2 linked regions of the Arabidopsis thaliana genome follow. The protein of the gene in region 2 interacts with the protein of the main gene of each other region in a biochemical or structural test. Each region holds a gene or a part of one and is shown on either strand. Other genes may lie near its edges.

Region 1 (3,758 bases), on a different chromosome or scaffold from region 2:
AACTCCCTTGAAAAGATCCCCAGATTGTCCTTTCTTGATCAGGTTTGAATCACTGAACTCCTTGGTGGCATTGAGCAACTGCTGATAGGTAAATGATGATCCAAGACTCCCAAAGTTTATAGAGACTCCTCCTCTTGAGGGAAGTGTTTCATCAGGAGGTAATGGGCCAACACCGTTGTGTCTTCCTCTAGGATGATTACTTGTTGATGATCTGTTTCTTCGACGGACACAGAAACTCACTGTTATTGGTAACACTATGAGAATGAGCATAAGCAATATAGACCCTCCAACTGCAGCAAGTATAACTATTTTCGTGTGGCTTAACCAGGAAGTTTTAGAACTCTTCTTCTCTTCATGTTGTCCGAAATTGTTGAAAGTTAAGCCCTTTTTTGAATAAAACAAAGTGCAATCCGACAACTTCCGCTGCTTCTCTGGGCCCTGAAGACAATTGTTGCTCAATGAAGCTCTGGTTGGCACAAAGTCAGGAATTTTACCTTCAAAATAGTTTTCTGACAGGTCAACAACTTGGAACCTTGTCAGTAAAAGTGTGAGATTGCCGTAAAACATGTTCCCGGATATGTTAAGCATGGAGACAGTAGAATCAAAACTGACAGTGGTATTAGGCAGCATGTCAGAGAAGTGATTTCCAGAAATATCTAGAAACTTGAGCTCCGGTAACGACCATAACCTGGACGGTAAAGCGCCTATGAAACCACTGCCTCTGAAGTCAATGATCTGAAGTTTACTCAGCAAACTAAACAGATCAGGAGGTAGGGATCCTGAAAGGCGATTTCCCGCAATTACCAATGTCTGCAAGTTCCTTAGCCCTTTCAAATCTGATGGAACCGAACCTGACATTCCGTTGAAGCTGAGATCAAGGTCAATTAAAACAGAGAGGTCTCCGAGTGATGGAGGTATTGAAGAAGTCAAGGTGTTACGCGAAAGATTCAGACGCTGGAGCTTTGAGAGTGCCCCAATATTAGCAGGAATCGAACCAAACACCGAGTTTGAGGAAAGATCAAGGATTGATAGATTCTGAAGAGAGGTAAGAGACAGAGGAATATCCCCATTGATCGCATTCTTTGAAAGATCAAGAACTTTGAGATGTGATAACCGAGTCAAACTTTCAGGGATGGTTCCTGTGATTGAACAGGAGCTAAGGTCCAACACCTCTAAAGTCAACAGACTCGATCCAAACAAAGCCGGGATTGGACCTGGAAGATAGAACCTTGAGGCGTTGAAGGAAGCTAGACGGGTGAGATTGACGAGAGAACCAACTGAGAATTCCGGGTTTTGATTCCCAATCCTTGTCCTTCTGAACCCTGAAATGTTGATCTTAGTTACTCTACCATTCTGATCACATTTGATGCCGTTCCAGTTCAGACAAGGATTGCCTTTTACAGGCCAATCTCTGCTTCGTAACCCAAGAGAAGACCTTAACAGCAGAAGCGCCGATTTCTCATTCAGAGAACTTGTCTGTTGCTCAAACGTTGACTCTAACAACAAGAGGAGGAATAAGAAGAAGACCAACAAGGATGTCTTCCTCAGAACCACCATGGTTTCTCTAAACCCTGGTGACGACTAGTACTTCGAAAAACTTAAAGCCATTCATTGCCTAAGATTCAATTGGAAAAAAGCTTCGCGATTTATGGAAATAATCAAATCTCTTTTTTTTTTGGGTTTCCTTCGAATCCGATCAATAAAGGAAACTTTCTTTTTGTGATTATTCAACAAAGATATATACTAAAAAAGGTTCTTCACTCTGTTACCTCTGCGACTTTCTCTGGCAATTACTTTTCTCTGTGCACTTCAGAATCAAAAACGATTCATTGTTGTTTACCAATCATTTTCTGCTGCCTCTCTCTCTCTCTAACTCTTCCATGTTTTTTTTTGTCCTAGATTTAGAGAGAGAAAGATGGAAAGTCTGATATAATACGAAACAGATATTTTTATATAATATTTGATAAAAACTTCTTCTTACAGAACTGTTCTGGACAGAGAAAGCTTCAGACTGGTCAAGAACAGCGGCCGTTCGAAGAAAAGAGAAGAAAGTATAAGAAAATAAAAAAAGTGAGAGAAGGTGGATCTTTCGTTGTATACGTGCACGTTCCCAAGATTTATGGTTCGATCTCGTGACCGAGACGCAGATACAGTAATTGAAAGTGAAGTTCTGAATACGGCGTCGTTTGAGGAGTTTGACTCTCAACGATCCCGCCCAAGACAGCTTAACGAACTCTTAAATTAATATCATTTCAAAAATACTTAAAGTTTCTGCTGACGTTTAATATGATAACCACCATTTTAGTAGTTTTGCAAATAAATAATTGAATTCCTAGGAGCTACGATGCTACTCCATTTCTGTAAATTTTGTATGACAATTATTTTTCCTCGTATTAAAACGACCAAAATATACTAATAATAATTGTGGCTTTATTATGAGCAAAATGATTTAGTTGTCACTCTTATAAAAAGTCGACGATACTTTTTCATATTACCTGCGATATATTAATAATCAGATTTCTTAAAAAAATCTTAGCCAGGTTATTTCTTGTTGAAAAAGCTCTTCTACACGCTTTAGTCAGCATTTTCAGCACAAAAATCGAAATCAAGATACTGAACCATTTGTAATTGACTTTGTATAACTACTACATCTTCATTCTTCATCCGTCTAATTTTGGTATACAAAATAATTAATCCTGTAAAAAAATAATATTCAGACAGTCAAAATATTTCAAGTACAGAGCGAGTGTATCCAAATATTCAATGATTGAAAATTGAATTCCATTGAAAGATTTATATGTTCACATATCTGCACATCTAGCTTTCATTTGAATATCACTTAACATACCAAAATATTTGTACAACAAAAAACGTCTATGCTAAAGTTTGGATATTACAGACTGTAACATGTCCACGATGCTATTGCGATAAGAATCTTTTCATATGAATTTATTGCATGTCATAATTAATGACAAAACAAATATGTAAATCCATAGCACATTATCGTCATAGTCTTTGCATATTATTTCATTTTATTGTTTTACTAATTTCGCCGTCAGATTCATTGGGCCGGAAGTTATAATCTTTCCAATTAAATTAGATAGGCCCAATAAACGAAACTCAGACCCAACTATTGTATGACATAATGACGACGAGACGAAGGACAAAATTGTCATTTAAGGAATAAAAGATATTCTTACAAAGATATTTTTTGCTCGAAACGAGGAGAAAAAATCATTAGTTATCGAAAATGCTCACATGATGTGGGCCTAACCACTAACCCAATTAACCACACATCTTAATCAGAGTAAGTTGAAACAAATCTTTCAGCAAACCCTAGAAAACATGTTTAACCCTAGTTATTACGTCACACCTGTTCTATAAATTAAGGCTGCGTCTTATCACCTCAAATCACATAAGTCTCTCTCTTACATTTTGAAACCCTAATTTCTCTTCTTTTCCCCAAAAAAAAATGTCTGAAGTTGAGTACCGGTGCTTTGTCGGCGGCCTTGCCTGGGCCACCAATGATGAAGATCTTCAAAGGACGTTCTCACAGTTCGGCGACGTTATCGATTCTAAGGTCTGTTACACGAGAGATCGGTCTCCCGGATCGAGCCGATTCCGATGATTCTGATCCTCGACGGATCTGATTCCGATCTGTTTCTCTGTTACTTGATTCGATTACTGTTACTATGTTCTCTCTCGTTCTTTGTTACTGTTACTTAATTTGTCCCATCGGTACGTTCATCTTCCTGCTT
Region 2 (3,758 bases):
CTTTATGAAACTTGTTTCTTACAAGAAATATGTAGCAAGCAATATACGAAACTTTGATCGATATTGTTTACTTTGAGGTTGATAATAGAACTTAAATAAAAAATTTAGAATTATAATACTTTCCACTCCGAAACTCATATGTAAATATGTTGGTAAATTCAATATAGAAGTGTGAAAATGCGTAATATAGTGATATTGTTTTATAAAAATACTTAAAATTCTCTCTTAATTTCCAAAACCATTAAAATAAAATAAAAACATACCATTATCACTCAAATTTCATATCAAAGGTTTTTTTAAAATCAAAATTAGTAATAAATACTAAAAGTTTTAAATAATATTGGAATAGATTTCGTCTGTCAAGTCCACGAGAGATCTCTAAATACTTGATCTTGAATACTAATTCATCTTAGAGGCCCTAGAATTAGTAAAAGCAGGAGTGGCTAACGCATCAGTCATCTATCAAGATACTGGTGAGCAATGAGACTTGTTATGCACCCCTCTCGGCATGGTACAAAACACATAATTATTTGATTCATCTAACATGTTCGTTCTTGTAGTGATATTATAGACGCTAGTGTGCTTATCCATCCCGTGTATGAAACCGGTAAATATATGACTACGAATAAAACATTATACACTTTATACAAAATCTATCATAATCGGATCCCCAATCTTAGGAGAATATTAATACTCCATACTCATAAAACTCACCTAAACACATAAAAATTTGTTGGGTGTCTTTCATAACTTTCTCTTGACTTAAGTGTCGGAGATTAATTAAACGACAAAGGATTGTCCTTTACGTGGTACATGTTTATCTCTTGTTCAGTGTATCGTCCACATTCACGAGAAGCAAACACAATGCAGATGTCGAAAATTTGGCAGGAAGAACTATCTTTTTATATTAAACTTGTAGGAGCTTTTCCAAAACATAATGTTTGTGGTTTTTTTTGAATATATATATTCTAAAAGTCGATCACAAAGTTTTAAAACTAAAACATTATTTTTTTGATTGGTGATATATATAATTTTGTGTCCGACACCTTAATAGTATTTAGTAATATAATGGTTGTGCGCCATATATAAATTGACAAATGACACCAATATTTTAATTCTTACACACAATCTATACACATAAATCTCATTCGATCCTTACCTTTTCCGTAGCTTTTCATTTAACAATAATATTCATATTTTGGATTAAACCTTCACTTTACTCTCTTTGTTAACTTTAAGGAAGATGCTGAATGTTGCAATTGTGCAATTTGTCAATAACATATGCTGAACTTATTGTCTTTGTATATCACATAAAAAACAAACTGAAATACTATGTGTTAAAAAGAATATTAAACAATTTATAAACCATTTTTCTTGCATAATCTATCTTTTAACCCTATATTAATAAAAACAAAAACAAAACTACATACACTTTTTTGGTCGAATCAAAACTATATACTGTACATTGTTTCATATAACATTATTTTAGAAAAGAAAAAACTCTTCGAAATAAGTAACTCATGCAGATAACAGTCCCCAATTGGGAATGGATTTGTATTTTCTCAATTTAAAGATTAAGTTCATTTTCATACTTATACTGTATATGGAGAAAATATGATAGAGTAGATTATTGAAAATGGGCCTATTAGTTATGTAGTATAGACCTAATGCTATAACCTGCTAATAATTAGGCCTTATTACACTTCCGTTTTAGAAATGCGGCCCAATGGGTTTTAAAGAGGGAAACAAAAAAACAAACACACATACCTGTAGGCTGTAGTGTTGTAGTACAGCTTGAATTAAAGCTTTCGAGAAATTGTGTGCGACACCAACTTTTTCCAAAAGCAAGTAGCCAAAGCATAAAAGGTGAAACTGATAGCTTTAAATTTTCAGGAATGAAGAAAAAGAAAAAGCTAATTCGAATCTCAAATAAAGAAAGACAAATTCTATGTGACCATTGCAAAGAACTCGACTTTTTTTAGTAAAAGCAATTAACAAAGTTGGAGTCTTTGTTCACTTCACTGTCTCTCATCACACGCTTTCCTTCTTTATCTCGTGACCACTTTCAAAGCCGAAAAGAACTTGGTATTTTTGCATTGAATTATAGAGATTTAAGAGCCATCGATGTGTGTGTGATCTTCAATGGGTTTATGCTTAGCTCAATTGGCTGTAACATGTTTGTTCCTAGTACCTTTTGTTCTGTCTCAAGTTACAGGTACTTATGGCACATAATCTGTTTGTTTAAATGCTTCAATGAGTGTTTATTTGTGTGTGTCTGTGTGTGTGTGTGGAAATTCTTGTTCTTGATGTGTTCTTTAACTTGTTTTTTGATGTTCAATCACAAATTTTTGTTCTTATTTGCGTTGAAGTCTTCAATTTTAGACTATTTATGGTTAAAAATGTTCAATTTATGGTGTAATGGGATTGAAGAGTAGGGGAATACTAAGATTCTCTTGTCATGCGTTTTATTGTAGTTAGTGGGAAATGGATGAAATTTTGATTGAGTGGCTATATTTGCAGAGTTTGTAAGTATAGATTGTGGTTGCTCAAGTAACTACACAGACCCAAGAACTGGACTAGGATGGGTTTCAGATTCAGAGATCATCAAACAGGGCAAGCCAGTAACTTTGGCCAATACCAATTGGAACTCGATGCAATACCGTAGGAGAAGAGATTTCCCAACTGACAATAAGAAGTATTGTTACAGACTCAGTACCAAAGAGAGAAGGCGATACATTGTCAGAACTACATTTCTTTATGGTGGTTTGGGTAGTGAGGAAGCCTACCCAAAGTTTCAACTTTACTTGGATGCAACGAAATGGGCTACTGTGACGATTCAGGAGGTCTCTAGGGTTTATGTTGAGGAGTTGATCGTAAGGGCAACTTCAAGTTATGTGGATGTTTGTGTATGCTGTGCTATCACCGGTTCTCCTTTCATGTCCACTCTTGAGCTTCGCCCGTTGAACCTTTCGATGTATGCCACTGACTACGAGGATAATTTCTTCTTGAAGGTTGCTGCCAGAGTGAATTTTGGTGCTCCGAACATGGATGCCTTGAGGTAAAACCCTATTAAAACTCTTCTTTCCATTATATCATTCACAAGAATGTTGACAGACATCCAAAAATACTCAAAGACTTTCTCTTTTAGGTACCCAGATGATCCATATGACAGAATCTGGGAGTCAGATATTAACAAACGGCCAAACTATCTTGTTGGTGTGGCTCCTGGAACGACAAGAATCAATACGTCAAAGACTATAAATACGTTGACTAGAGAGTATCCGCCTATGAAAGTCATGCAAACAGCAGTAGTTGGCACACAAGGACTGATCAGCTATAGATTGAACCTGGAAGACTTCCCTGCCAATGCTCGTGCGTATGCTTATTTTGCTGAAATTGAAGAACTTGGTGCTAACGAGACCCGGAAATTTAAGTTGGTGCAGCCATACTTTCCTGACTATAGTAATGCAGTGGTGAACATTGCCGAGAATGCCAATGGGAGCTATACTCTCTATGAACCTAGCTATATGAATGTGACTTTGGATTTTGTTTTGACGTTCTCATTTGGGAAGACTAAGGATTCTACGCAAGGGCCACTCCTAAATGCAATTGAAATTAGCAAGTATCTACCAATATCCGTGAAAACTGATAGGAGTGACGGTGAGTACTAGAGGCTACTACTACCTTGTAAATTCTTCTATGAATCTTTTCCCGTCTATGATGCTGCTGGAAATGTGCAAATCAAAATTTGTTGATAA

What was found.
Region 1: the proteins of AT1G67720 (region 2) and AT4G39270 form a complex in vitro, tested with the Arabidopsis thaliana proteins (one large-scale study listed by BioGRID).

Annotation. Positions count from the first base shown.
Region 1 is NC_003075.7:18,274,673-18,278,430, reverse strand, and holds the start of AT4G39270 (Leucine-rich repeat protein kinase family protein), read right to left. Parts: upstream 2,121-3,758; 5' UTR 1,558-2,120; coding exon 1-1,557. Other genes in the region: CCR1 (cold, circadian rhythm, and RNA binding 1), read left to right, coding at 3,473-3,580.
Region 2 is NC_003070.9:25,384,352-25,388,109, forward strand, and holds the start of AT1G67720 (Leucine-rich repeat protein kinase family protein), read left to right. Parts: upstream 1-1,779; 5' UTR 1,780-2,142; coding exon 2,143-2,215; intron 2,216-2,520; coding exon 2,521-3,058; intron 3,059-3,148; coding exon 3,149-3,660; intron 3,661-3,758.